Macaca fascicularis: one gene and its partners. The protein of the gene in region 5 interacts with the protein of the main gene of each other region in a biochemical or structural test. Links are inferred from orthologs where the notes say so. Each region holds a gene or a part of one and is shown on either strand. Other genes may lie near its edges. The genes, in order: RNF20, HERC4, NEDD4L, RNF7, UBE2L3, RNF19A and PRKN.

Region 1 (4,020 bases), on a different chromosome or scaffold from region 5:
GGCAAAAGAAATGAATAGGTTATAGAAAGAATGCCAGATGGTCTTAACCATATGAAAAGATGCTCAGTCTCACTTATAATGAGATAGATATAAAGTAAAGCTATTATTAGATACCAGTCTTCACCTATCAGATTGTTACAAGGCTTTAGATGTTTGCACCTGCTGGAAATCCTGTAGATCCAGTATTCTAATTGCGGAAAAGCATGAGAAAATGTGAGAGGTTACGATGGAAATACTCTTTTTTTTTTTTTTTTTTTTGAGACAGAGTCTTGCTCTGTTGCCCAGGCTGGAGCGCAGTGGCCAGATCTCGGCTCACTGCAAGCTCCGCCTACCGGGTTTACGCCATTCTCCTACCTCAGCCTCCCGAGTAGCTGGGACTACAGGCGCCCGCCACCTCGCCCGGCTAGTTTTTTTTTTTTGTATTTTTTAGTAGAGACGGGGTTTCACTGTGTTAGCCAGGATGGTCTCGATCTCCTGACCTCGTGATCCGCCCGTCTCGGCCTCCCAAAGTGCTGGGATTACAGGCTTGAGCCACCGCGCCCGGCCGGAAATACTCTTAACCAATTACTGCTTGATCTGTTTGTCTAGATTAAGGTAAATACAATTATTGTCTGCTTTAACTGACTTTGAATACAGGTCAACTAATAAGTATCAGACCAACAATTGGTGCCAGTGACTTCAGATAATAGAGCTTTTGTATGCCTAATGACAAAACACAGCTTCTTAAAACTCTGTCACTAAATTAATTTATATGTAAGTGAACGGTGGGAAAGTTTAGTTTCCGGTGCTCATCCATTGAAGTTGGAAGATTCTTCTAAAATGAAATCTCTTCCTCCATCCTTTAGGAAGAAGAAGCACTCCTCTCTGAGATGGATGTCACAGGCCAGGCCTTTGAAGACATGCAGGAGCAAAATATCCGTTTGATGCAGCAATTGCGGGAGAAGGATGATGCAAATTTCAAGCTCATGTCAGAGCGTATCAAGTCCAATCAGATCCATAAATTGCTTAAAGAAGAGAAGGAGGAGCTGGCAGACCAGGTTTTGACTCTGAAGACTCAGGTAATTAAGATGAGTAGAGCTTTCTATTCTATTGAAATAGGGCGCTTGCTACATGACGATACAAATTAAAGAATGATTATTGTGGCATTTTTTTGTGATGGAAAAAAATTTGAAAACTAAATGTTCATCATTAGGGTATTGGTGAGTAAATTATACATCTCTACTGTTATTCCTACAAAAGAGTACAGTGTAGCTGTCAAATATGGATCTGCTAATATGGAAACATGTCTGAAATAAAATCAACTGACTTATTTTGTTACCCTTTTTGCATTAAAGTGTATGTTTACTTGTGTGCCTGTGCTGTGTATTTTAAAAATTTCTGGAAGGCTGCATGAGTAACTGTTAGAATCATTACCTCTGGATATTGGGATGAGTTGTGGGTGAGGTTAGGAGGTATGTGTGATTTTACTTTTTTTTTTTTTTTTTAAATTTCCATAGTTTTGGGGAACAGGTGGTGTTTGGTTACATGAGTAAGTTCTTTAGTGGTGATACCAAGATTTTGGTGCACCCACAACCCAAGCAGTGTACATTGTACCCAATGTGTAGTCTTTTGTCCCTTGCCTCCCTCTGCCAAGTCCCCACAGTTTATTGTATAATTCTCATGCCTTTGCATCCTCATAGCTTAGCTCCTACTTACGAGTAAGGACATACAATGTTTGGTTTTCCATTCCTGAGTTACTTCACTTAGAATATTGGTCTCCAATTCCATCCATATTGCTGCAAATGGCATTATTTTGTTCCTTCTTATGACTGAGTAGTATTCCATGGTGTGACTTTTCCTCTAGGTAGATACCTGGAAGTGGGATTGCTGAATCAAGTGGTAGATCTACTTTTAGTTCATTAAGGCATCTCCATGCTGTTTTCCATAGTAGTTGTACTAGTTTACATTCCCACCAATAGTGTAAAAGTGTTCCCTTTTCATCATATCCATGCCAACACCTATTATTTTTTGATTATGGCCATTCCTGCAAAGTGAGGTGGTATTGCACTGTGGTTTTGATGTACAGTTCCCTGATAGTTAATGATGTTGAGCATTTTTCTTATGTTTGTTGGCCATTTGTATATTTTCTTTTGAGAATTGTATATTCATATCCTTAGCCACTTTTTGGTGGGATTGTTTGTTTTGTTCTTGCTGATTTGTTTGAGTTCCTTGTAGATACTGGATGTTAGTCCTTTGTTGGATGTATAGATTTTTTTCTGCCACTCTATGGGTTGTCTGTTTACTCTGCTGATTATTTCTTTTGCTGTGCAGAAGCTTTTTCGTTTAATTAAGTTTCATCTATTTATTGTTTCTTTTGTTGCATTTGCTTTTGGGTTCTTGGTCATGAAGTCTTTGCCTGAGCCAGTGTCTAGAAAGGTTTTTCCAATGTTGCCTTCTAGAATTTTTATGGTTTCAGGTCTTAGATTTAAGTCTTTGACCCATCTTGAGTTGATTTTTGTATAAGGTGAGAGATGAGGATCCAGTTCCATTCTTCTATATGTGGCTTGCCAATTATCACACCACCATTTGTTGAATAGGGTGTCCCTTCCCACTTTATGTTTTTGTTTGGTTTGTCAAAAATCAGTTGCCTGTATGTATTTGGCTTTATTTCTGGGTTCTCTATTCTGTTTCATTGGTTTATATGCCTATTTTTATACTAGTACCATGCTGTTTTTGTGACTGTGGGTTTTTTTGTTTTGTTTTGTTTTTTGTTTTTTTGAGACAGTCTTGCCCTGTTGCCCAGACTGGAGTGCAGTGGCGCGATTTTGGCTCCCTGCAAGCTCTGCCTCCCGGGTTCACAACATTCTCCTGCCCCAGCCTCCCGAGTAGCTGGGACTGCAGGCACCCGCCACCATGCCCGGCTAATTTTTTGTATTTTTAGCAGAGATGGGGTTTTGCTGTGTTAGCCAGGATGGTCTCAATCTCCTGACCTCGTGATCTGCTCGCCTCGGCCTCCCAATGTGCTGGGATTACAGGTGTGAGCCACTGCGCCTGGCTGTGACTATTTCTTTATAGTATAGTTTGAAGTCAGGTAATGTGATGCCTCCAGATTTGTTCATTTTACTTAGTCTTGCTTTGGCTATACGTGCTCTTTTTTGGTTCCATATGCATTTTAGGATTGTTTTTTCTAGTTCCTTGAAGAACGATGTTGGTATTTTGATGGGAATTGCATTTAATTTGTAGATTGGTTTTGGCAGTATGGTAATTTTCACAATATTGATTCTATTATCCATGAGCATGGGATGTATTTCCATTTGTTTGTGTCATCTGTGATTTCTTTCAGCAGTGTTTTGTAATTTTTCTTGTCGAGGTCTTTTACGTTCTTGGTTAAGTATATTCCTAAATATTTTATTTTATTTTTTTTGCAGCTATTGTCAAAGCGGTTGAGTTCTTGATATGATTCTCAGTTTGGCTGCTGTTGGTGTTTAGCAGAGCTCTGATTTGTGCACATTAATTTTGTATGCTGAAGCTTCGCTGAATGCATTTACCAGTTCTCGCAGCTTTTTGGATGAGTCTTTAGGGTTCTCTAGGTATATGATAATGTGATCAGCAAACAGTGACAGTTTGACTTCCTCATTACCAATTTGGATGCCTTTTATTTCTTTCTCTTGTCTGATTGCTGTGGCTAGGACTTCCAGTACCATGTTGAATGGAAGTGGTGAGAGTGGCATCTGTGTCTTGTTCCGGTTCTCAGGGGGAATGCTTTCAACTTTCCCTTGTTCAGTATAATGTTGGCTGTGGGACTGTCATAGATGGCTTTTATTACCTTAAGATATGTCCCTTCTATGCTGATTTTGCTGAGGGTTTTAATCATAAAAGGATGCTGGATTTTGTCAAATGCTTTTTCTGCATCTATTGAGATGATCATGTGATTTTTGTTTTTAATTCTGTTTATATGGTGTATCACATTTATTGACTTGCGGATGTCAAACCACCCCTGCATCCCTGGTATGAGACCCATTTGATCATGGTGGACTATCT
Region 2 (4,757 bases), on a different chromosome or scaffold from region 5:
TGCTGGGATTACAGGCGTGAGCCACTGCGCCCGGCCAAATGTGACCTTTAATTGGAAATGAGTTCTTTGCAGATGTAATAACGTTAAGATGAGGTCATAATGGATCAGGCAGGGTAGGCTCTAATCCGATATCTGGTGTCCTTATAAAAGGGAAATTTGGACACAGACACACAGCGAAAACAAGGTGAAGAGGGATGCTTCCACAAGGATTGCCAAGGATTGTTGGCAACCATCAGAAGCTAGCGGAGAAGGCTGGAAAAGATTATCTCTCAGAGGCCCCAAGAGAGAACTAACCTTGTTTTCACCTTGATTTTGAAATTCTGGCCTTCAGAACTGTGAGACAATAAATTTCTGTTGTTTTAAGCCTCTCAATCTGTTTTAATTTATTATGGCAAGCCTAGGACACGAATACACACACTTAAACATATTCTAGAACAGACAATTCTTACCTAAAACATGTTTTTCAACAAGAGATAAAGAAATAGGCCAGGCGCGGTGGCTCACGCCTGTAATCCCAGCACTTTGGGAGGCCGAGGCAGGTGGATCGCCTGAGGTAAGGAGTTTGAGACCAGCCTGACCAATACGGCGAAACCTTGTCTCTACTAAAAATACAAAAATTAGCCGCGCGTGGCGGCGCATGTCCGTTGTCCCAGCTACTCGGGAGGCTGAGGCGAAAGTTCCAGTGAACCAAGATTGCGCCGCGCCATTGCACTCCAGCCTGGGGCACAGAGCAAGACTCTGTCTCAAAAAAATAAATAAATAAATAAAATAAATAATTAAAAATAAGAAAAGAAAAAGAAAGATGGCCTATTTGTGGAACTTCTTCTAGGTACTGAATATTCATTCTAGCAATGCCAAACTTAGAATTTCAAAAGTGCTTTGTTTCAAGTTCTCCTGCTTTTTAAGAAGTTAAGGCTAGCCTAGGAGATCCAGACTTCGTTTTTATGAATCAGGGACTGCAGCCAAATGTGTAATTTTCTCTGATAGAATGAGGCCCTGCAATTCAAGCCTATCTTTCAGGGGGAGTGTAGAAAGTGATGGGAGCCAACACTGTAACAGGAACCTGAACTGGTGGTGTTATTAGTTCGAGTAGCTTTAACCATTGCTATCAATACATCTCACATCCTCAGACTGGCTCCAGTTGAGGCCATGGGATAAAATAACTCTTCACCAGTCTTTATATTCATAATCGTGATGTTTCATCTGCTACTTAAAATCTCCTTGGGAAAAGAGAGAGTAAAATAATAAAAAGACCAGCTAGCATCCATGAGCACAAAGACAACCAAACCAAAAAACAAAGTGATTTTCTTCATTAAAAGGCTCTGTGCACGCCGAAGCATTCTCAAAAACAGTTTATACCTTCTTCGTTTGTCTTCGCAAACTCCAATTTTCTGTATTTGACTTTTCCCTCTTAAAGCAACGCAAAGCAGCACACTGCGCAGGCGCCTGTGGCCAAGCGCCCCCGGGAGTATTCCGGCGCAGGCGCGGGGACCGGGAAGTGGGCGGGCTCGCGCGCGTGCTCGGCGGTTCACTTCCGGCCAGCCCCTCCCCCGCCTCCCTCGCGTGGCCACCTCCCCCTCTGCCTTCTCCTACCCAGTCTCTTCCCCAACTCTCCCCACCCCTAGTGCTCTCCGCCCCGCTTGCCTCCTGTTCTTCCCCGCCCGCTCCATCCGGGTCGCTGACGGCTGTCTCTGGACTGGACAGCAGTGGCGTCCGCTTTTCTCTAAGGAACCCGGTAAAGTTTCACAGGGGCCGGGGAGGGGAGCAGCGGAGCAGCGGCACAGACGCCGGAGGTGCCCTGGTGATCACCGCCACTGGCTGACGGAGGAGGGTCCCAGGAGCCGGATACCTGCTTCAGCGACCGCGCTGCCTTGGTCTCTGGGGAAGGGCCGCCCCGCGTCACCTTGGGCTTCCCCTGCCCTGAAGGGCTGGGCGAGTTGTGGCCCCAGTGGGTTCGGGGGCGTGTGACGGCGTTAGGGAGGGGCAGGCCGGGCTGGGCGGATGCAGGCCGGCTCGGCACTGGGCGCTTTCTCAGCGCTTCCTAGGGGTGAGGGGCGTGGGGCGAGGGCAGGGTTGTGGCTCCCTGGCCCCGGGGCTGGAATGTCGCACCTCCCTGGGGATGGGCTTCTCTCAGGTTGAGGCCGCGGGCTGCCAAGCCTCGGCCGCCGGCCTCTGAGGCTGTTGCGAGCGGCCGGTTGCGGTAGTTGTCTGCTCGGCTGCGAGGTTGGGTGTGTGCAGATGATTTCTCTTTCCCGGTCCGCATGAGCTGATCTGGGTGCACGTTCAGGGAAAGACGGGATTAAACTGCTTCTCATTTCCCTACCTGTTGCTGGCGAGAGGACGCCTCTGTGCTTTAAAGAAAAGGGTGGTTAGACCTCGCGCGCTGAAGTCGGGGTATTTTCCTGTATTACTCTTATTTTGTTTTTTAAATATGGGAAGACAATGCAGAAGTCTTGGGAATTATAGAGTTCTGATGCCCCGAAAGAATGAAATCAAACTTGTTAGAGGATGATGGGTCGTGGAATGGGACACCTTGGGCACTTGCTAACAGGAACGTAGGAAAATTGAGATTGAGACTTCGCAGGCTCTGTAGGAATGTGCATGACTACTACAGAATAAGGCTGACTTCCTGTAATTATGATATTTAGTAACGCGATGTGTTTAAAAATCTACGTATGTATAGATGAAGTGGACTCTGTTATTTGTGTCTTTACAAGTGAAGAAATACTCAGTCAATGTGCTGGAAAGTTCTACAGATTTCGCCATCAGACTATCAGTGCCCCAGCCCCCATTCCTATTCTTGAAAAATCAGCAGTGCTGGAGTTATTTGCAATTAACCCCCGCCAATCTTTAAATAATTGTCTCAGAAGTATAGATAGATATAGATTGCTCACAGGAGAGTTTTTTAGTCCCGGTTACCAATTGTAATAAAAGAGGTTGAATTTTGGAGAGAATTGATATTTAAACTGCATGAGTTTTTTTCTGTATTATAATTATGCAAATTGATTTAGTTTTAAAATTAGTGAAGTTGGAATGTTAGTATTTTGATTTGAAAAATGGGATCTTTGGAGGTGATTTGAGATTGTGGTTTGGTAAGAGAATCCTCATTTTCTCTCTGGCCTATTAAGAATAATTGGGAGAGTCGTTTAAATTGTGGAAAATTGCTTTAAATTTCCATTGTTGGTTTTATTTCTGTTACAGATAAGAACTTCCATTTTCTGTTGATGTGGAGGTAGGTATTAGAAGGCTTAATTATACTAGGATTTGAGGGAGATTGCAAGGTTATGTTTCTGCAGTTGGCTAAATTTTTCACTGTGTATATTTGCTTCTTGGGCAGTGAAAAGATGTCTTATTTCTTGCTCCCACTGAAATTATTTAAAGCAAAAAGTAGAAAAAATTGTGATTAATTTCATCAAGGTACTTACTCCCATTAGTTTAGTCTATCACAAGATAACCAGAAGTCAAAACTAGTTAATATGTTTTAAATTTTGCAAAGGATCGTAGAAAGTGACATATTTTCCCTAAAACTTTCTGTATGATACATTAAAAAAAATACAACTGATTGGTTTTTGAAACAATGATACTTATGTACCATGTTATAAAGTAAATTTAGTGTTTACCATGTAGCAATTATTGTAGCCTAGCACTTGAAAGAGCAATTATACCTTTTTTCTTTGAAGTCATATTAACTTCTTTCTATTTCCTCAGACATAGGGTACCTCCAACTTTCCGGGGTTTCAGAAGAGAATTTTTTATTGAAACTGGAAGACCAAAATAATTACAAGCATGTTGTGCTGGGGCAATGCATCCTTTGGACAGCTAGGTTTGGGTGGAATTGATGAAGAAATTGTACTAGAGCCCAGAAAAAGTGACTTCTTTATAAATAAAAAGGTCCGAGATGTAGGATGTGGACTCAGACATACTGTATTTGTTCTGGATGATGGAACAGTGTACACTTGTGGATGTAATGATCTAGGACAGCTAGGTCATGAAAAATCCAGAAAGAAACCAGGTAAGTTGAAACGTTTTTAAAATTTGCTATTTCTAATAATTATATCATTTTAAATTTGAATCATCATATAATTTCTCTAGTTGTAATTATATGTTTATCAAACTTTAAAAGCAAAGTAGAAGTTATGTATTTCCATTATATTTGTATATTTGTATGGTTCTAAGTACTTTATGTTGTGGTTTCTTTTTTTTTTACGACTAGTATTATAAAACCTTATTTTGTATGACAATATAAAACAATAAAGAAAATCAGCCTGCCGTATATAGGTCTTTGGTACAGAATGTGTAGTGTGCAGGCCCTCTTTAATAAATTCTGTTCAGGCACCGTGGATAGATTTTAAATGCATAATTTACTTTGTGTTTACCTTACCTTGGGAGTAGGAGAAGAAAACAAGACGAAAAGCTTTTTACTTTGACTTGCTTGCCTAAAATATGTTTTTATTCTTTTTATCCCTCTGTCATAGTATTTTAAACATGTAATTTTATTTGGTTTAGTTAGAAATATCTTTTATTCCTCTAATCTTTTACTTTCTGTAGCATTGCTAGCTATTCAAGATTTTGTGACTATGAAGTGTCCTATTTTGTAATAGTTGTACAAGCAAAATTAAATAATTTGTAGGGTAATGAGAATTTTGAGGAATTTGGTCACATTTCATGTTCTGTTTTCCTGGATATTGTATTTTAAAATCAAATATTTCTACATGTAGGAATATCATTGTTATGTGAGTTTTGCTTTCAATTATGAT
Region 3 (4,020 bases), on a different chromosome or scaffold from region 5:
AATCACCTGAAGGGTAATTTCGTATGTAATACATAAAAAGACAGGAACGATTTTTATGGGATATGAAATAATTCAGAACCCTAGTCGCAAAATCTGGGGAAACCCATTCAGTTATGCACAGTTATCATATTTAATAAACCTGGATCCCAGTTAGAAAAATGTTCAGGTCCTTCCTTGCAAATGCAAAAGCTTAGTTTCAGCTACAATATTTATAATATAAAGTTATATTTAATTATAGTAATTGGCAGTACTAGGTGCAAATGTAATTTTCTGCTTATAATTGTCCCTGGCAGTTTCAAACCTAGAAACTCTAAAAATTTTTATGGGCAGTGTTTTAAATTATAACATTAGATTTTCTAATCACTCACCACCCCCAAATTGTTCAACATTGCATCTTCTGTTTTACTTTCCAATTCCTCCTTAGCAGTTTTCTCTTTGGTTTTCTCCATCACTATGGTTACACCTCTAGGGAGGGGGGAGAATCAGCTGCAGCTCAGACCCCCTCCGGTGGCCTGGGCTCTGTTGCCATTTCTCCCTGCCTCCTCCCCTCAGCCGGTTCCTCCTGCCCAGGACGTCTCTGGATGGGGCACAATCTCTGATCTCATTTAGGAGTTTTGGTCTCTGTTCCAAAGTCCTGATTCAAGAGCTCATGGATAACTACTATTGAAATGATTATTTGCCTTCAAAACTTAGATGAATACTAAAAATTCCACAATTTTCTTTGTGAGTCACGTCCCCTGGTAATGATAATGACTTTGTGGTCATCACCCAGGCTCTCTGACTCTCACATAGCAGTGTCTGCTACCCGGAAAACATCTCTGCAGTTTCATTCTTACAGCCAGACCAAGCCTGGATTGCCTCTTTGCAGGAGGCAGCTGCCGCAGCCTTGGTCAAGCGAACCATGCTTTGGGCTGCTTTCCCCACACTTGGCATAATCAGGGTCCCGCTCCCCATGGCTGCAAAATGGACTTGAGGCACCGTGGATTATATCTACCACCTCGCGGCCCTGCCAGAGTTGAGCATGGCCCCAGCCTGGCCAGGTGGGGATTATTACAGGTTTTGATTACCTGGGCTAAAGTCTCTTGAGAGAAGCAACAGGTACAGTTGACTGCCTTTCAGTTGCCATATGCTGGAGGAGTGCCCACAGTTGTTTATTAAAGGGGGTGAGGAGGCTGTTCTCCTTCGCAGCAGAGTTTCTGACTTTCCTGAGCATCGCTAGCGGATGCCGTGTGTCCATCGTGACACAGCGAGGCTTTCTGTCTGCAAGGGAAAACCCCTGAAGGAGAGACTCTCAATTGGAACCATTTGTCACTGCTCGTTTCTTTGAGGACTGCCAACTTTCCTACCCTTGGTTGTTGTTTTTATTAGAAAACAAAACGTGTATTTACTGTGTGTGTTTTCTTTTGTCTTTTGTGTAGGCTGATATCCCCAATAGGTTTGAAATGAAACTTCACAGAAATAACATATTTGAAGAGTCCTATCGGAGAATTATGTCCGTGAAAAGACCAGATGTCCTAAAAGCTAGACTGTGGATTGAGTTTGAATCAGAGAAAGGTCTTGACTACGGGGGTGTGGCCAGAGAATGGTTCTTCTTACTGTCCAAAGAGATGTTCAACCCCTACTACGGCCTCTTTGAGTACTCTGCCACGTAAGTATATGGCCACACCCAGAGTGTGTCCCCCACTGAGACAGTTGTATGAATTTAAACAGAATGAAAGAATAAGCAGCTCACCAGTTCAAGATGCAGTAAGTCTGTTGAGTTTATTCTCTCCTCACCCCACAGCCCCTTGCAAGTCTAGAACAGGTTCTGACTCTACCTGGTGAAATAGTGTACTCTGTGAACATCTAACATTGATTTTTTTTTTCTTATCTAATGGGTTCATGGAGTTGAAATTGAAAACGTGGATAATTGTGGTAAGGAATAGGAGGCGATTTTCATTTGCAGTGTTCAAAAGGAGGACTTGTCAGTGTTAGAATGCAAAAACAAAAAGGTGTTTTTTGAACAAGAGTTGTTTCCGAGGTCTCTGGGTAAAGGCAAATTGTAAGGACTTTGAGGACCTAGGACCATGCCCTGCTCCTGTGAGGAAAGAATCAGGTTTCCCCTTGCATTAGGATTTCATCATTGCCAGGCTTGGAAACTGAGGCAGACTAAATTGCTTTCTGAGCAACCAAAGATCGGCTACTTCCAGGCCAGCCATTCCTTCTTCTGAATCCTCCAAGGGTTAGGCTGGACCCAAGCCCTCAGTAGAATAGTCACTGACCTTGCTGAAGGGTATTTATCATCACTTTAACCCTGGGCCCTAAGGGGACGTGGGTTCTCCCACATCTCCCATGTGGTACCAATCTCCTGGGGGCTCATTTGGAAGGCAACCTCAGTGCATTCTTCTCAGTTGCTCTAGCCAAGAATTGCCCAGTTGGTCTGTTGTTATTATTACTGAGTCCCATGAGAAAGCCCACTATGGACAATTTATCCAACTACTGAAGGTGGAGGGCAGGGTGGGGAGAGACAAGATCTTTACCTCTCCTCCACATTTTCAAAGATACCCCCCTGGAGGAAACTGTCTGTGACCCCGGTTGAAAACCACTGATCCACATAATTGTGAACCAAGCAAGGTCATTTGGACAAATCTAAACACTTGCAGGTTTGCCTCATTGAGAGAGCCATATCCTGTTCCTAATCCCCTTGAGGCCTTTTCAGAGCAGAGTAGTGGTCAGAAGACAGACCAAGGGTTGGGCCCATAGCATACATCTTATGGCCAAGCCAAAAGCCTCTGGAAGGAATTAACCTTCCTTTATCACAGACACGACCTAAAGTACCCACATCATTGGGAATGCCTGCACAGCCCCTTTATTATGTGGAGTTTCTTATCTCCCCAAGATATTTGGCTGAACCATAGGAAATAGACACTTTGTGGATCAGAAACAGTCAAACATCAGCAGTTTCTTATGGTTTAATTGACTTTAAAGTACACATGCATCAGCTTCCATGGTGGGTCATGGTTGAGCAGGTGGTAAGTCAGGTCCTCTAGCCCACACCTTTTCCCACTAGGTACAGAATGCTTGCAAGGACACTGTAGAAATTGAGTGACAGGTGGCAAAGAAATATGCAAAATCTTGCATTTGAAAGTGTGATTGGTCTTTTCTTCTCTTTCTCCTCAAAAGGGACAACTACACTCTTCAGATCAACCCTAATTCAGGCCTCTGTAATGAAGATCATTTGTCCTACTTCACTTTTATTGGAAGAGTTGCTGGTCTGGCCGTATTTCATGGAAAGCTCTTAGATGGTAAGTCTTGAAGTAATAAAAATAGGTCAGTGCCGCTTGTGGTTTGCTGGTAGGTGTCTTATCTTTTGCATCATGAGTTTTTAAGCAAAAGCTTCACTGGTTTACTCATAAAGTATTTTTATGTTTCGCCCATAATGGATGTGCTTTTCTCTGGTAGCTTATTTTGGGCACTGAAGACATAATGTCTACACACAGTTAAAAACAAAAGTTTTTTTTTTTAACTTCATTGTAAAGCACAGAACATTATGTATTTATACATTTGTATGTTTTCTGGAATAACTTTACTGAAAGCAAGATTTGATAACAGATGGAAAAACTAATTGAAAAGTTAATTAAAATGATCTCATCCATCTAATATTGTGTGATTATTGCATTTGTCCCCAAATTATTTTTTTAATTTGAAGGGACTAAATAATTTCAAAATAATGTTACCACTCAGCTAAGACATTAACCCTGAAACAAATAACACAAAATAATTTCATTCTTATTTAAAGCATGTAAATCATGGAAGAATTTCAAGGTACCTTGAAAGTTAGAAGTCAAACCCTCTACCTGGCATTATCTATAGGCTTGGAGACTTCTAAAAGATTTGGCCAATTCAAAATAGCGTCCTTAAGAAAACACTACAGAAATCATCAGTAAGGAAAAAGCATCAGAAATATTTTTTAAGAGCTTGGAGGTAGAGTGGTTGAGGATGGGAAGAGGGAGAGTAGAATTTGAGATTAACATTGCAATA
Region 4 (3,172 bases), on a different chromosome or scaffold from region 5:
TTAGACTATAAAAGTTGTCGTAGGCTAAATATTTTAGGCAGTTCAAAGATTTTTATGCCCTAGTTCTTGAGGTGATCAAGTCTGGATTGCTATATAAACATGTTTACAGATTTTCTTAGAATAAAAGATCGGCTTTGTATTTTGTGTTTGCATGGTGTACATAGAACACAAATACATGATGTACATAGAACTTAATATTGATTCTTGCAGTTTTGATCCAGTTCTTCCTCCTGAAACACTTAGAATGTTTCACCCTTGCTTCCTACCCCCTGTAGCAAATTTTCATAGGAATTTTTTTTCTTTTTTTCTGCCTTATTTCTTTCATTTAATCTTTTTCTTTTGTCATATAGCTCAGTTGATCAAGCAAGGGACAGATGAATACCAAATTTGAGATTGCATTCTAGATTATGGATGATTTCCCTTGTTTTAAAGTTTTTCTTCCATGCTGCTTGTTTAAAAAGTATTAATTTGGGAATTGTGAGGGGCAGGCCACTTTCTTGGATCACAGAGAGACCTCTCTCTCCAGCCAGCCCCTTTGAAAATTTCATCGTCACATGAGGAATTGCACTGCTTGTGGATGACCTAACAATTCATTACTTCTAGAAAACAGCTCAGCTCAGTAGATGCACAACTGAATATTTAGAAGCATGTTATTTATAATAGCCTACTGCATGCTAAAAACATTTACAACTCATTCTGTCTTGGTAAATAAAAATTGGAAGGACATTTTTCCATAAAATAAAGCCCAGAAGGTCTCTAAGGTCAGTGCATAACTGAGAAGGTCAGATCTAAGGAAGGTTCAAGTCCTTTCATCTCCTAAGTTCAAGAAGATAGCATGTGGAGCTGTGTAGGAACTAGGGGTCATCACATCACCCATAGATTCTAGAACAGGGATGGAAAGGCTCTCAAACAGTGACTTATGTCTCTGTGTAACTTACACATTTAAGTTTCTGTTTCTTTATAGATAGAAAAACATTATTTTGGCCAATTAACTGTCTTTTTTCAAGATTATTATTTGTAATATAAAATAAGCTGTAATTTTGAGTTGAGTATTTAAATTGAAATATGTAATGTCAACTCTTCTTTTTCTTTCTTTCAGTGGTCTGGGGAGAATGTAATCATTCCTTCCACAACTGCTGCATGTCCCTGTGGGTGAAACAGAACAATCGCTGCCCTCTCTGCCAGCAGGACTGGGTGGTCCAAAGAATCGGCAAATGAGAGTGGTTAGACGGCTTCTTAGTGCGGTTGTTCAGAGCCCTGGTGGATCTTGTAATCCAGTGCCCTACAAAGGCTAGAACACTCCAGGGGATGAATTCTTCAAATAGGAGCCGATGGATCTATGGTCCTTTGGGACTCATCAAAGCCTTGGTTTAGCATTTTGTCAGTTTTATTTTCAGAAATTCTCTGTGATTAAGAAGATAATTTATTAAAGATGGTCCTTTCTACCTCTGTGGTGTGTGTCGCGCACACAGCTTAGAAGTGCTACAAAAAAGGAAAGAACTCCAAATTGAATCACCTTTATAATTTACCCATTTCTCTACAACAGGCGGTGGGAGCAGTTTCAGAGAACTTTTTGCATGCTTATGGTTGATCAGTTAAAAAAGAATGTTATAGTAACAAATAAAGTGCAGTTTAAAAGCCAACTCTTATTCTTAATTTGTTCCTAATATGTATTTTTGGCAGGGAAAGGGAGCGGTCCTTGAAATCTTTATGTGATGTGAGGATTTTAAGTTTGGGCCAGTGAACGGGGTAAATAAAATTTAACTTTTAGGCATATGGAATTTTGATTGCCGTTAAAGTTACTATTCTCTGTCATTCAGCAAGAAAACGTAGATCTGTACTCACCTCACTGTTCAATCATTGAGTGGTAAAGGACAGAAGTATTTTCTAGTTCTGGTCAGATGATGTAATTTTTTTTTTTTTTTTTTTTTGAGGTGGAGTCTTGCTCTGCCACCCAGGCTGGAGTACAGTGGCATGATGTCAGCTCACTGCAACCTCCGCCTCCCAGGTTCAAGCGATTCTCCTGCCTCAGCCTCCCAAGTAGCTGGGATTATAGGCATGTGCCACTACACCTGGCTAATTTTTGTGTTTTTAGTAGAGACAGGTTTCCCCATGTTGACCAGGCTGGTCTCGAACTCCTGAGCTCAGGTGATCCGCCCACCTTGGCTCGCAAAGTGCTGGGATTACAGGTGTGGGTCACTGCGCCCGGCCCAGATGATATAATTTAACTGTGTTTTAGGTAACATGTTAATAAGGGAAAATGTTTACCAGTGTAGCATTGGGTCAAAAAGTTTATTTTATCACACAGTGTTTTAATAAATGGTTTATTCTGCTTACCTTATTTGAATTGTCATTATAATTTTATGTGCAACCTTAAACTTAATAAACTAATTTGTCAAGTAAATACTTTCATTTAATTTGAAAAATTTCATATTCATTTGCTCTTTCATTTGGTAATAATGAAATTTAAGGTTTATTACCTGGAAACAGTACAAGAAAATACTAAACTTTATCAAACTGTTTCACACTAAGGGGAGGTTATTTGTAACAAATAACGGACCACAAGTTCATTTTGGATTCTTCTGTGGTAGAGTCTACTGATATGAATTTAAGAAAAAACCTTAGAATCTTAACTTTTCACATCTGCAGATTCAGTTTGCCATTCTGAATTTTTAAATCTAAGGGATGTGGATACATAGAATGTTTAAAAACGTAACAATTAGAATAAAAAATTAAAATTATGCTTTTGTATGGGTTACTTTTTATGAATCACATTTTTCTGGAAATTTTTGCTTTATATTTTTTCACAGTTGTCTCTCTAGCTACTGAAAAAATTATACAAATATCTTTGGCCATTTGAATTTATCATTGTGCAGTAAACTGTTTTAGTAACTTTCTGTTTGACCTTTTTAGAAGGTTGCATCCTTAAAATGTGAACCAGATACACGGCTTTGCATTGAAGAGGAAAGCAGTAGAATGTCAGGTTACTTTAGGCAGTGTGACAGTATGTAAATGAAATGTGGAGGATGGCGCTAACAATTTGATTTTCCACACAGCAAAACCACAGTCCCGCCACCTAACAAAGCCCTGTTTATGCTACACACCAGCATCTGAGGGAAGAGAAGGCGCTGTGACAAAGCAGCGTTGATGCTGCCCAGCCTGCCATGATCAT
Region 5 (4,782 bases):
AGGGCAGGCCCGGTGCTCACAGTAGACCCCAGAGTCAGTCCCAGGCTTCCAAGTCCACCATGACCCTAGGGAGCTGATGGGGTCCCTCATACATACGCTGAATGTGTATTGAACTTCCAGTGTACTGGCCTTGGGGGAGGTAAAAGGCAGGCAGAATGGCTGCTCACATGAGGCTTGTCATCTAGTTTCTCCCTCCTTTCCTGTGTCAAGCCTGGGGTCCCAAGATGAGTGTGAGGCCAGCCTTATTCCAGGATATATTATTTCCAGTTCCCTTTCCTTCTCTCCTTTCAGGGGAAACCCACTGTTCTTTTTTTTTTTTTTTTTTTTTTTGAGACGGAGTCTCGCTGTGTCTCCCAGGCTGGAGTGCAGTGGCGTGATCTCGGCTCACTGCAAGCTCCGCCTCCCGGGTTCATGCCATTCTCCCGCCTCAGCCTCCCGAGTAGCTGAGACTACAGGCACCCGCCACCACGCCCGGCTAGTTTTTTGTATTTTTAGTAGAGACGGGGTTTCACCGTGTTAGCCAGGATAGTCTCGATCTCCTGACCTCGTGATCCACCCGCCTCGGCCTCCCAAAGTGCTGGGATTACAGGCTTGAGCCACCGCGCCCGGCCGAAACCCACTGTTCTTAGAAATGGAGAAAAATGTCCAAGCCCAGTGACTCACACCTATAATCCCAGCACTTTGGGAGGCCAAGGTGGGTGGATTGCTTGAGGTCAGCAGTTTGAGACCAGCCTGGCCAAAAATGCTAAAACCCTGTCTCTACCGAAAATACAAAAATTAGCTGGGCATGGTGGCAGGTGCCTGTAATCTATGCTACTCAAGAGGCTGAGGCAGGAGAATCACTTGAACCTGGGATTCAGAGGTTGCAGTGAGCTGAGATCATGCCATTGCACTCCACTCTGGGTGACAGAGTGAAACTGTGTCTCAAAAAAAAAAAAAAAAAAAAAAAAAAGAGAACTCCTTAAGAAGGTCTGAGTATATTCTGAAGCTATGTTCTTCTCTCTTCTTTGCTCCCTGAGGTCCAAACCAGTGTCACCTCTTTGCCTGAACGATTGCAACAGGTTTCCAAGTGGCCCCTGCTCCCCTTCTTATCCTCTTACCCACCTCCATTCCCCATTCCAATCAGAGTACTTTTTTTTTTTTTTTTTAAGACGGAATCTCTGTCGCCCAGGCTGGAGTGCAGTGGCGTGGTCTCGGCTCACTGCAACCTCTGCCTCCCAGGTTCAAGCAATTCTCCTGCCTCAGCCTCCTGAGTAGCTGAGATTACAGACGCCCGCCACCACGCCCGGCTAATTTTTTGTATTTTTAGTAGAGCCACGGTTTCACCACTTTGGCCAGGCTGGTCTGGAACTGCTGACCTCGTGATCTACCCGCCTCGGTCTCCCAAAGTGCTGGGATTACAGGCGTGAGCCACCGCGCCCGGCCAACTATTTTATGCAATCAATATTTATTATTTGCCTACTACGTGCCAGGCACTGGTTGTAACTGTCATCTGATTGGACGATCCGTAAACGCTGCGGCTCAGCCTGTGCGGTTCACTTGTGTTCCTCCACGCGCCTCCGAGCACGCTGGGAAGCATACAGTAGGTGCTCTGCTCCGCTCCTGTGCCCCGCCCCGCGGCCCCTCCCCCGCTCCAGGAAGTGCGGGGGCTCCAGCCGCCCGGCCGGCCGCGATGCATTCTGGGGAAGGAGCAGCACCAAATCCAAGATGGCGGCCAGCAGGAGGCTGATGAAGGTAAAAGCCATTCTCTGGCCTCGGTCGGGCGTGGGGCGGCGTCCCAGGCTCCGGACCCCCGAGGCAGGCAGCGGCCTCTCAGGGCGCTGCCGTCTGGCCTCCTGCCCTACACGGCCTCGTCGGTTCCCTGGGCCGCGCGCAGGCTCAAGGAGCTAACGGGGCTGGCCTAGGCCGCAGCCTGGGCGGGAGCGCCAGGCCGCGCTGGGAGCCACTGTTGGCCCCTCAGCCCGGCCCGGGGCGTTCACGCCACCCTCCGCCCGGAGCGTGGCCGCGTCCCCCTGTCGCGGAGGCCGCGGTCCGACGCGAGGGCGTCGTTAATGTGAGAGCCCGGTTGGGAGGCTCCAAACTGAGCGCCTTCGGGGAAGGCCCGAGCGCCGGAGCCCCTGCCCGGAGCCCGTGCAGCGGAACCGCCCCGCCCTGGGCCTCAGCGAGCCGGGCTTGCAGCTCCGCTTGGCCCAGCCGCAGCTCGGAACTCTGGAAGGCTCGGGCTAGGAGAGCGGGGAGGAGGCCAGGCGGCCAAAGTTAGGTCAGTTTGTTGGTGGGTCGTTTGGAATTGCGCTGGGTCCTAGCAAACTGTCGCCTTGTGACTGCAGAGTCACACAGCGGGCAAGTTCCAACTCCAGGAAGGCCTGAGGTCGGCCCCCATCGCGGCGCGGTTCTCCTTCCCTCTCCTCCACTCAGTCATCTCGATCTCCCTTCCCTGATAAAGCAAAATGCCATTTTTTGGGGGGTAACGGTTGGTTTCAGTCGTTCGAATCAAAACGGGCCAAAGTTTATAATAATAACTTGGTACTTTGGATCTTGAATGCAGCAGGGTGCTTTCTTGCTACTTGGCACCTTTTAGTGAGGAACACATTAGCTAAATTGGCTTAGTTCTTTTGCCAGTGGATTTGCCAACGTCCTCCGGAGTCCCCTCCGCCAGCGTCTGTGAGTCGGCGGCTGGCTAGTGCAGCCGGCCTGCAACGGGCCGGAAATTAAAAAAAGGCCCCGGAGCCGGTTTCCTGAGGGGAGATAAAGAGCTGGGGTTCGTTCTGGGCAGAGCAGTGTTTGGTAGAACTAGACATTGAACTTGGAGCCACAGTCTCTGAGCCCTCCCTGCCTCCCTGGGAACGTTTCCTTTCTTTTGTTCCCTAAGGGCTAGAGAGGACATTAACTTTATAAAACTGGAGTGGAAGTGGGCACAAAAGAAAACTCAGAGGACTTCTGACTTCTCATCTCTTAAGCTAGTGACACCACCATTCACCAGATAAGGGGTCGGTTAATGGCTTTCTTTCCTACCCTACTCCCAGGTGCAGTCGTCCTTCAACCCTTGTGGATTTAAATTTAGAAAGTTTTCTGGAGTGCAGGCCGGGCGCGGTGGCTCACGCCTGTAATCCCAGCACTCTGGGAGGCCGAGGCGGGCGGATCACTTGAGGTCAGGAGTTCAAGACCAGCCCGGCCAACATGGTGAACTCCTGTCTCTACTAAAAATATAAAAATTAGCTGGGCGTGGTCGCATTCGCCTGTAATCTCAGCTACCCGGGAGGCTGAAGTGGGAGAATCGTTTGAACCTGGCAGGTGGAGGTTGCAGTGAGCCAAGTTTGCGCCACTGCACTCCAGCCAGGGCGACAGAGTGAGACTCCATCTCAAAAACAAACAAAAAAAAAGATTTCTGAAGTGCATGACTTGCTTTCTAATGTTACTGAAATTACTCTGAATCTGTATCCTCATCTCTTGGGTGCCCTCCGGAGTGCTCTCCTCCCCAGACTACCCCTCACGGACACCAGAGTTCTTTTAAGGCAGATAACTCAATTCTTTTCACTCCTGTTAAAAATGTCTATGGTCTTATTGTCCTCAGCAGTTAATCCTAACCTCTTACTTGGCATGCAAGACCTTTCTGAGACTGACGGAAAGCAATCAGTTGAGCCTCACCTCCTGCCCTTTGGTTTCCCACCATTCTTGCACCTAATCGCAGTAGCTACTATTTTTCCAGCTTTTACTTCGTGCTTTATATGCATGATCATGTTTAATCCTTCCTGTGAAGTAGACATTGTGATTTCCATTTTGTCGATGAGAAAAGATTATTTGGCTTGCCCTGGGTTACCTAGCTAGGGAGAGTGAGCTGTGATCGAACTGGGTTCTTTCTCCAAAGCAAAGTCTCCTGCTCTTACTTGCCCTCTGGTGTCTCTTTGCACGTGTCGTTTGCTCTGCCCCAAAAAAGTTGCCTTCTCCTCACTTCTGCCTTCCAGAGAAGTCCCAGGTTCAACTCCAATGCCAACTGCTCTGTGAGCCCCTGCTTCACATCCCCCTTCAGAATGAGTTGTTTCCTCCTCTGTGTGACCACAGCACTTTATGTTTCTCTTTGAGCACTTGTCACAATCTCTTTGTGTTACAGACTTGTCTTTCCTGTACTGGGTTCTGAGATCCCGAAGGGCAGGGATCTTGACCTAATTCATCCTGGAAGCCCCCTAGCCTATCCCAGTTGACCCAGTTTGGAATCCCCAGGCTCTCAGGGGTCTAAGAGGGGACTTATTACGGGTTTAAAATTATTACTCTGTTTCTAAAAAAATAGACCTTGGAAAAGAATTTGTAACATTAACTGAGTATTTATTAAATATTAGGTTATTTACATAAGTTATCTTTTCAACACTCCAAGTTAGTGTATTGTCGTTTTTATGTTTTTACAAATGAGGACATTGTGAGGTTAACTAGGTTAAGGGAGTTACCTAAGGTAGAATCGTAGAATGTGGTGGGGAGGGAGAAGACACTGACTCTTCCTGTCTTTAGGACCCAAATTCCATGCCTCTTGTCAGGCTGTCTTTCTTACTCAAAGGCTGCATGGAGCGGTGTGTTGTTTCTTAAGTTGAGGATGGAAAGGCTTTCAGTTCACTAGGGGAACGCCAGTTATGTAATGCTGATCATTGGCTGTGAGAGTCAATGTTTAAGACTGGGTAGTTGTTTTTTTTTTTTTTTAAAGAAGAAAAATTATTGATACAAGTTCATCAACAGTCTTTTCAGTACATGGGGTGGAAATAAAGTGATTTTCGTTGGTGAAAAATTGGGACTTAG
Region 6 (4,020 bases), on a different chromosome or scaffold from region 5:
TAGGAGGAAAAAACACATAGAAAAAGGCACATTAATCATGAGTTTCTGGGTCATATATGTATCACAAAGTGAACATACCTTTGTAGACACTATGCATACTGCACATATTAAGAAAGTTTGGCTGGGCATTGTGTCTGACGTCTGTAATCCCAGCACTTTGGGAGGCCAAGGAGGGCGGATCACTTGAGGTCAGGAGTTCGAGGCCAGCCTGACCAACATGGTGAAACCTTGTCTCTACTAAAAATACAAAAATTAGCAAGTCATGGTGGCGCATGCCTGTAATCCCAGCTGAGGCAGGAGAATTGCTTGAACCCGGAAGGTGGAGGTTGCAGTGAGCTGGGATTTTGCCATTGCACTCTAGCCTGGGCAACAGAGCCAGACTCTGTCTCAAAAAAAAAAAAAAAAAAGTTCCCTTTGTGCCTCACCATAAAATGTAGCCACAATCCTGACTCCTAACATTGTACATTAATTCTCTCTGTTTGGAACTTTATATAAATAGAATTATACCACATACTCTTTTGTATGAGAGTCCTGTCTTGTGTGTAGCAGTATTTTGTTCCTTTTCATTGTTTCATTGCTTTAGAGTGTGAATATACCACAATTTATGTATTCATTCTACTGCTGATAAAAATATGGTTGTTTACAATATTTTGAATATTATTACCAATGCTATTGTGAGCATTGTTAAGTATGTCATTTTTCTTATTCGTTCCTTTCTAGGAATAAAATTGTTGGGTAATAGGTTATCGCTGTATGCCAATTTTATAGATATTGTTAAACAGTTTTCCAAAGTAGTTGTGCCATTTTACACTCCCACCAGTAGTGTAAGAGAGTTCCTATTCCTCCACATCCTTGCTAACACTTAGAAATGACAGTCTTTTAATTTTAGCCATCCTATTAGGTGTGTTGTAGTCTCTGAATGGGGCATTAATGTGTTTTTTCCTGATGACTGATGATGTTGAGCACTTTTCATATGCTTTTGTGAAATGCCCCTGCCTATTTTTCTATTGGATTGTATATGTTTTCTTATTGATTTGTAAGCATTTTTTACATAGTCTGGGCACTGTGCCTTTATTAGTTATATGTGGCAAAAGTCTCCTCCCATACCCTTAATACTGTCTGTTGATTTTATTCTAGTCCAATTTAACAGTCTTTTATTTTATGGTTGGTATTCTTGTATGTTCTGTTTAAGAATTTTTCCATTGAAATAGTCTCTTCTCTTGTCTCCTAGAAGCTTTACATTCAGATCTGTAAACCATTTGTAATTGATTTTCATATATGGGCAAGCCATCCATCCATCAAGTTTCCTTTCTTTTCTCAGGTGGATAACCGGTAGACATAGTACTTTTCTTTTTTTAAAGGCCATTTATTCTCAGTCCTCAGCAACATCACGTTTGTCATAAATCAAGTCTCGTGTGTGTGTGTGTGTGTGTGTGTGTGTGTATGTAGGACTTTTATTTTATTTTATTTTATTTATTTATTTTTGAGATGGACTCTCACACTGTCGCCCAGGCTAGAGTGCAGTGGCGCAATCTCGGCTCACTGCAAGCTCCGCCTCCCGGGTTCACGCCATTCTCCTGCCTCAGAAGAATACTCCGGAGTAGCTGGGGCTACAGGGACCCACCACCATGCCCGGCTAATTTTTTATATTTTTAATAGAGATGGAGTTTCACTGTGTTAGCCAGGATGATCTCAATCTCCTGACCTCGTGATCTGCCCGTCTTGGCCTCCCAAAGTGCTGGGATTACAGGCGTCAGCCACCACGCCCGGCCTATATGGGACTTTTTCTGGACTACTTTCTGTTCCACTGGTCTTTGTATTCATCCTTGTGGCATAGCACATTATCTGATTACTGTAACTTTATAATATTATATCTAGCGGCGTTAGAGGCCTTTCCCCACTTTGTTCTGCAAGATTATGTAAGCTATTCTTAGCCCTTTGTATTTGCATGTATACTTGATTGTCAGTTATAAACAACAACAGAAAGACCTGCTAAAGACAGTGAGAAATCATTGAAGTCAGAGTGATAATGACCAGAAGTTTTTTTCTAAGATTTTAAGAATAATTAGGTCAGCTCAAATCTAGAATCTTTTATTAAGATTAAAGAATGCCCTTTTTGTTATTTCAGCATTAGTCTTGTAGTTTCTTACAGACTATTTAATAAATTGGCCTTATTTAAAAAAACAACAGCTACTAATGGTTAAGGAACATACTTGTTTGAAATTTGATATTTATGAAAATATACAAACTAAGAACATAATTAAATGATCTTGATTTTTTTATTTTTTATTTTTCAGAACATCCGTGATAACAGTCTTCTGTAAATCGAACTTTTGAAGAATTCTCTGAAAGAACCAAGTAGAATATTCTTACATCATGACTTACTCTGAATGCAAGAACAAGAAATAGGTTTTATCTCTAAATATAATGAAGGGCTGTGTGTAAACACTAACCCTGACTCAATTCTAACAAACATTTTAGACATGAGTTTACATCGGCAAATGGGTTCAGATCGAGATCTTCAGTCCTCTGCTTCATCTGTGAGCTTGCCTTCAGTCAAAAAGGCACCCAAAAAAAGAAGAATTTCAATAGGCTCCCTGTTTCGGAGGAAAAAAGATAGCAAACGTAAATCAAGGGAGCTAAATGGCGGGGTGGATGGAATTGCAAGTATTGAAAGTATACATTCTGAAATGTGTACTGATAAGAACTCCATTTTCTCTACAAATACCTCTTCTGACAATGGATTAACTTCCATCAGCAAACAAATTGGAGACTTCATAGAGTGCCCTTTGTGCCTTTTGCGGCATTCTAAAGACAGATTTCCTGATATAATGACTTGTCATCATAGATCTTGTGTGGATTGCTTACGACAATATTTAAGGATAGAAATCTCTGAAAGTAGAGTTAATATTAGTTGCCCAGAATGTACTGAACGGTTTAATCCCCATGATATTCGCTTGATATTAAGTGATGATGTCTTGATGGAAAAATACGAAGAGTTTATGCTTAGACGGTGGCTTGTTGCAGATCCTGATTGCAGGTGGTGTCCAGCTCCAGATTGTGGGTAAGAAGATATTGTTTGATTTTTCTTGAGTTAATTTTTTTCTCTGTGGATAAAATAATTTGCTGTTACTCAAAAATTTTTACGTGCTGGAGAATTCATTCAACAGGCCTGTTGAGTACACACCATATATCAGGCACTATGCTAGCTGTTAAAGGCAGTGGTCCTGTCTTACTCATTTCTGTATTGTCTCTGTATTACATATTCACGGAGCACATTTAGAAGAAAAGGGTAAGGTGGTAGAGTTCAGGATCTACCTGAAATTGGTTTTCTCATCCATTTGGAGAATTTTGATTTTGGAATAACAGACGAAATGTTGAGCATTGTTTGTGAAGAGGAGGTTATTTGTGGTCATAAACTCAAATGACCCTCTTCTTTATTTTTTTCTCTTTGTTGACATGTTTCTCATGAGAGATAAATGGCCCTTTTGAAAGGTACCTACCTTAGCATGTGCCACAGTATGATGTGTTCATGTTGATATACATAAACATTTGCTAGTCTCAAGTTCTAGGGGTTATGTAATATTTGATTTGCCTCAAGTTTTTGAATTAACACATACCGTATTCTCAACATTTAAAATAAAATAATTTTGCATATATATTTGATTATTATGTTGGTGAGCAGCTCCTGTTTATAGAGCATTTATTGTGTACAGTTGTCAGAATTAGGGAAACAGTAGTCATATACTATTCAAGAATAGTAAAAGCCACAAACAATTAATGTGATATGTAGCACACTGTTAGTAAACCAGAGATTATAAGTAACGTTTGGGGAAACCCAGAACTTCCGAGATTATCTGGGTATAATCTCAGAGGCAAGACTGGAATGTGAGTTTCATTTATCAAATTACAATTTCAAGACTCGTTACCTGAATCAAATCCACGATTTAAAAGTTTCTTGAGTAGTGAATTTTCAGATCGCATCTAACCTACATTCCATAATTTTAAATGAGAAAAGTA
Region 7 (4,606 bases), on a different chromosome or scaffold from region 5:
GACAGGTGCTTACTCAGTAGCAAAATCTGCCTTAGCATACCAAGTGTAAAGCTATGTAACAAATAGGAAGGTTTAAAAAATAGATACTATCATGCAGACAGCTAAAATATTTGTATGTATTTTTAATCTTTTTTTCCTCTAATGATACTTAGAATATTTTATTTTTGTTACTACAAATAATGCAGATGAAATATGAATTGTATTAGTAGCAGAGACACATGAGCTAAAGCTTGTATTGTTTAAAGCACATCATCTTAAAAGGCCTGTCAGGAAACAGTGTTCATATTAAGTGGGCTTTCAGTACTCTAACAAGATGACATCATTTTCTAAGAGACAAGTGTTGTTAGAGTAACTGCTAGGATATTCCAAAATTTCTCATTATAGATTATTTAATGAGTTTATGTTCCCAGTTGTATATCAGCTCATGTTAAATTTTGCAAGAGTTTATGATTTCTAAGAGCTCATCTTCTGTAAGGCCCTTTGCTGAGTGGGGTTAGTTAGCAATCAGTAATTAAAGGGGATCTTTTTACCTCGTGTAAATAGCGTAAGAGTAATTTTGGGCGGTTTAGAAACGATGAGTTATCAGGAAGGTGCTTATCAATGGGCAGAGTATATCATTTGCCCAGGATTCTAACAACCTAGCCTGCCCCCCACACACTGTGGGGGACCGTCTGCTACTTGCCAAGTAATTGCCATTTTTGGCAAAGACCACCCAGGACATGGGCTCAGAGTCCATCCTAGGGCTGGCCAACCTCTGTAAATCTCGTGTCCCCTGATACGGAGCGAGTGCATTCAATTCAGGAAGATCACTTACGACTGAGTTTTTCATCATGGCTTTGACTGTGAAGCCCTCAGAAACCAGGGAGTGAGGCTGGTGCACCGGGAGCGGCTGTTGTGCCAGCAGCTTGGTCCTCTTCGGCATCTTGTCTGGGCATTTGTTTAAGCTCAGGGTCTCTTTTTCTGCCACCATCTTCCTAGAAAATGTCTTGTTCTCATAAAAAGTGTAGTAAAAGAATCAGTGGGTTTTACGGATGTGAGCAGGAGGTCGGGAAAAAAATGTCAAAAGGCGCGTTAATGGTAGAAATTCAACCCCTCGTAGTGCCCAGGTTGATCCAGATGTTTGGCAGCTCCTAGGTGAAGGGAGTTTAGGGGAGGGGTGGGGCGGGAAGAGGGCAGGACCGTAGCTAGAGCTGCAACAAGCTTCCAAAGGTAAGCCTCCCGGTTGCTAAGCGACTGGTCAACACTGCGGGCGCATAGCTCCGCCCCTCGGTGACGTACGATTGCTGGGCCTGAAGCCGGAAAGGGAGGCGGCGGTGAGCTGGAGGGCAGGAGGCGTGAGGAGAAACTACGCATTAAAACTACGACTCCCAGCAGGCCCTGGGCCGCGTACCCTCCGCGCGTGCGCATTCCTAGGGCCCGGCGCCGGGGCGGGGAGCCCTGGAAGATTTAACCCAGGAGAGCCGCTGGTGGGAGGCGCTGGCTGGCGCCGGTGCGCGCGTAGGCCCTTTCCTGGCCCGCAGCCGCCACCTGCCCAGTGACCATGATAGGTACGTGGGTACCTGCCAGGTACAGCCTCATCTGCGCCGCCCTGCGCCCCGGTGTGGCCTCGGCCGACCTGGACCCCAGGTGCCAACTGTCAGTGACGGGGCCAAAGTGCCCATGCCGTACCCGGCCCGCACCGCCGGGCTCTCCAGCTCAGCGACGCGGGCCCGGGGCCCCAGTGTGTGCGTTCCAAGCCCTCGCCCGCCCGCCCCTGCTCTGAGCGTTCCCGTGAAGACCGCCTCACCGGGGACGCCAGGCGGCCCCGCACCCCCGGTCCTCGCTCATGGTCCCCCGGACCGTGTAGGGTCCCGAAGCCTTCGCCCCGCCGCCGCCCCTCGCCCTCGAGGCCCTGGCCAGTTGTCGTGCGGTTCAGGACCCATCGAGACCCACTCTTTGTGGGGCTCTTTCAGGAAACCCCAGCAAAGCATTAAACTCTAATGGAAGGCACCTGGTGAGGGTGGCTGGGCGCCACAGAAACTCCTCCAGATGAATCTAAACTTCTTGCTCCCTCGGATGTTTCCTTTTAAACTTCTCGTTGGAGGGCTGAGGTGAAAGAAAAATTGAGAGTAAATAATAGCCAAGATTACATCTACTGCCTTTTGCAATATAACTTTTTTTTTTTTTTTTTTTTTTGGTAAAACACAATGACCGAGGTGCAATTTTGTGAACAAAACTTAGTGGCATCAGAGTTGTTCATGAACACTTGATGTGTAAGATGAGCAAAGGTGCAAAGGTCCTCTTCCAGGGTTGTTGAACCAAAAACTACTTTAGGGGCTGTCCCTAAAAATGAATGGAAATGCACCATATGTTTAGAAGCCAGTGCTATATGGGGTTTCATTATTGTGGAAGTTTCTCCAGGTTATGTATGGAGGGTTTAGTGAGCTTGTTTAGGGCTAATTCCTGAGGAGCGTCCCTTACAAAACACTTTTGATTGCAGTAAGTACGTTCGAAGTCAGATGTGGTCTGTCCAGAAGTAAGGTGAGAGGTGGATTCATAAAATATATGATCTTTATGCACTGAAAACACGTACTACATCTGTTTTTATTTATGAAGTTATTGTTAAAATGTAAACATTCTGCCCATCAGTGGGAGAATCAAGCCAGCTAACTGGCATTGTCTTTGTCTCTGTGGTAAAACAAGAATGTTGTTCAGCCTTCCCTTTCTAGCATGGTCTGACTTTTGGTGAATGACTTGAAAGTTAACCAAATTATGAAAAAGTTATAATTTTTTGAGTTTTCTTGAGCTCTTTTTAGGTGACATTTACGTAAGATTCACTTGTAAGCACAAGTCTGAACTGAATCAGAAAACCAAGTAGAAGAGATTTTCCAAAATCCGTGCTATCAGTAGTCTACAGGAAGAAAATAGCCTATACCTTATTTTGAAGACAGTTAAATACATTTTATTTTAATTTAACTTAATCTAGTGCACAGATAATTTTAAGAGAAACAAATTTATTGTAAAGCTATATGAAGACAGGCACTTAAGATCTGGGATTGGAGGCGTAAGCCACCACGCCCAGCCTCATTAGCCACATTTCAGTAAACATCTGAATGGCCAGTTTGAGATTTGGGTGTGGTGAACAGTGCTAAAGGTAGGTGAAAGTGAAAACCATTAAAAGGAAGCCTTGGAGTGATGGATTTTGTGTTTTTGTGACAAAAATTCAGAGCGAGGAAAGACATTATAGATTTTATCCAGTGATCAGTTGGAGATCAAAATGTAAATAGTATGTATCTGGGATTTTCTGTTAAAGGTAAGAGTGCTTCTCAAAGCTTGCTCCTTTCAGGCCTATGCTTTCTCTGTTACACTCACCTTGTTGCGGGATTCAGGAGGACGAGAGAGACCTCGGGTTGAAACAGGAGAATCTTGATCGAGTGCACTCAGGCCCAGCTGACTCACATGCAATAGACTGGGCCCAGAATAAAGACAGTACTTGACTTTTATACACACTTCACAAAAGGAGGTGGGCTAGCTTGAAGCAAACTTACGGTGGTGGCAAAGCAGGGATACAGAGGCAGGACAAAGGCAGGACTGCACATGGCCATCGCCAAGCAACCCAGATGTTCGTTATCTAGGTTTCCCTGGGCACAGGCTTATCCTATAACCTTCACTATGGTGCCCAGGCAGCTGTAGTTCAGGCCTACTCAGGCTTCTCATGACCTTCGTTGTGCTTCTTAGATAAAACAGAATACTTGAAATCACTAGTTACAGAGAACAAGAGTCTATAAACTGATTCCATAAAACAAAGGAAAATTTGTTTTTCTTCTCCCTGTGTTGAGGGAGTGCTGGGAGAGTCTCCAGAGCACATTCGATAATATTAGCAAGACTCTTCCTGGATCTGGGCTGTGCTGTTGCTGCCTCTGGGACAAGTTAGCCTAAAACAGGAAAACTTATTTCTTTTTCTTTTTAATTTTATTTTTCTTTAATTTCCCGCCCCAACCTTAATGCAAATAATATTCTGCCAGTTGGAGAAACGTAAAGATGGGTTTCCTGGTAGAAGAGGAGTAAACAAGACTGACTGCGACCTAACTGCTAGTGGAATGTGCCTTCCTTTTACTTTCTCAAAACCAAAGATTCCCTTCTTGGGATGAGGACTGTTTCATAAGTCCTTACATTTCCCACCTGGATTGCGATTGATATGTTGAATGCCCTGACCTGGGCAGCTATGGAAACGTAATTTAATTGAAGTCGGTTAAAAATTGTGCCTTTGTGGAAGGTGTGGAGAAGGACTTCAAGATAATATAAAGCAGAATAGAAAAGCTTAAAAGAATTCAACGTAGAAAAGTGTAATTTTTGGTATCTCTATTAAAAATATATTTTGACTTTGTAAAAAATGATCAGTTTTTTGTATTTAAAATGGAATGTTAGTGGTGATAATTTGTGGTATGTTCTAAATGTTCTGTAGAACTGGATTTAGGTATTTGAGTAACAGCAGATATTAGAGTGCTTGGTTATATATACACCAATGTTGTCAGTATTGAAATACACATTCAGTGTCTTATACTTTTAAGAAGATTTTTGATTGACAAAAACCATTCATTGGAACATAGTCTCTTCTATACCTTGT

The links.
Region 1: the proteins of UBE2L3 (region 5) and RNF20 form a complex in vitro, tested with the Homo sapiens proteins (2 studies listed by BioGRID). The link is inferred for Macaca fascicularis from reciprocal best matches to the Homo sapiens genes UBE2L3 and RNF20.
Region 2: the proteins of UBE2L3 (region 5) and HERC4 form a complex in vitro, tested with the Homo sapiens proteins (2 studies listed by BioGRID). The link is inferred for Macaca fascicularis from reciprocal best matches to the Homo sapiens genes UBE2L3 and HERC4.
Region 3: the proteins of UBE2L3 (region 5) and NEDD4L form a complex in vitro, tested with the Homo sapiens proteins (11 studies listed by BioGRID, with this or other methods). The link is inferred for Macaca fascicularis from reciprocal best matches to the Homo sapiens genes UBE2L3 and NEDD4L.
Region 4: the proteins of UBE2L3 (region 5) and RNF7 form a complex in vitro, tested with the Homo sapiens proteins (2 studies listed by BioGRID). The link is inferred for Macaca fascicularis from reciprocal best matches to the Homo sapiens genes UBE2L3 and RNF7.
Region 6: the proteins of UBE2L3 (region 5) and RNF19A form a complex in vitro, tested with the Homo sapiens proteins (3 studies listed by BioGRID). The link is inferred for Macaca fascicularis from reciprocal best matches to the Homo sapiens genes UBE2L3 and RNF19A.
Region 7: the proteins of UBE2L3 (region 5) and PRKN form a complex in vitro, tested with the Homo sapiens proteins (52 studies listed by BioGRID and IntAct, with this or other methods). The link is inferred for Macaca fascicularis from reciprocal best matches to the Homo sapiens genes UBE2L3 and PRKN.

The regions. Positions count from the first base shown.
Region 1 is NC_088389.1:56,540,740-56,544,759, reverse strand, and holds part of RNF20 (E3 ubiquitin-protein ligase BRE1A), read left to right. Parts: intron 1-845; coding exon 846-1,058; intron 1,059-4,020. UniProt on the Homo sapiens protein: Component of the RNF20/40 E3 ubiquitin-protein ligase complex that mediates monoubiquitination of 'Lys-120' of histone H2B (H2BK120ub1).
Region 2 is NC_088383.1:78,490,365-78,495,121, forward strand, and holds the start of HERC4 (probable E3 ubiquitin-protein ligase HERC4), read left to right. Parts: upstream 1-1,581; 5' UTR 1,582-1,735; exon of another isoform or gene 1,736-1,948; intron 1,949-2,366; exon of another isoform or gene 2,367-2,394; intron 2,395-3,201; 5' UTR 3,202-3,232; intron 3,233-3,708; 5' UTR 3,709-3,786; coding exon 3,787-4,012; intron 4,013-4,757. UniProt on the Homo sapiens protein: Probable E3 ubiquitin-protein ligase involved in either protein trafficking or in the distribution of cellular structures. Required for spermatozoon maturation and fertility, and for the removal of the cytoplasmic droplet of the spermatozoon.
Region 3 is NC_088392.1:22,606,360-22,610,379, reverse strand, and holds part of NEDD4L (E3 ubiquitin-protein ligase NEDD4-like), read left to right. Parts: intron 1-1,418; coding exon 1,419-1,648; intron 1,649-3,162; coding exon 3,163-3,284; intron 3,285-4,020. UniProt on the Homo sapiens protein: E3 ubiquitin-protein ligase that mediates the polyubiquitination of lysine and cysteine residues on target proteins and is thereby implicated in the regulation of various signaling pathways including autophagy, innate immunity or DNA repair.
Region 4 is NC_088376.1:44,573,865-44,577,036, forward strand, and holds the end of RNF7 (RING-box protein 2), read left to right. Parts: intron 1-1,099; coding exon 1,100-1,218; 3' UTR 1,219-2,404; downstream 2,405-3,172. UniProt on the Homo sapiens protein: Catalytic component of multiple cullin-5-RING E3 ubiquitin-protein ligase complexes (ECS complexes), which mediate the ubiquitination and subsequent proteasomal degradation of target proteins.
Region 5 is NC_088384.1:31,559,285-31,564,066, reverse strand, and holds the start of UBE2L3 (ubiquitin-conjugating enzyme E2 L3), read left to right. Parts: upstream 1-1,681; 5' UTR 1,682-1,707; coding exon 1,708-1,734; exon of another isoform or gene 1,735-2,260; intron 2,261-4,782. UniProt on the Homo sapiens protein: Ubiquitin-conjugating enzyme E2 that specifically acts with HECT-type and RBR family E3 ubiquitin-protein ligases.
Region 6 is NC_088382.1:109,906,103-109,910,122, reverse strand, and holds part of RNF19A (E3 ubiquitin-protein ligase RNF19A), read left to right. Parts: intron 1-2,297; 5' UTR 2,298-2,390; coding exon 2,391-3,064; intron 3,065-4,020. UniProt on the Homo sapiens protein: E3 ubiquitin-protein ligase which accepts ubiquitin from E2 ubiquitin-conjugating enzymes UBE2L3 and UBE2L6 in the form of a thioester and then directly transfers the ubiquitin to targeted substrates, such as SNCAIP or CASR.
Region 7 is NC_088378.1:8,403,100-8,407,705, forward strand, and holds the start of PRKN (E3 ubiquitin-protein ligase parkin), read left to right. Parts: upstream 1-1,421; 5' UTR 1,422-1,540; coding exon 1,541-1,547; intron 1,548-4,606. Other genes in the region: PACRG (parkin coregulated gene protein), read right to left, coding at 815-970. UniProt on the Homo sapiens protein: Functions within a multiprotein E3 ubiquitin ligase complex, catalyzing the covalent attachment of ubiquitin moieties onto substrate proteins. Substrates include SYT11 and VDAC1.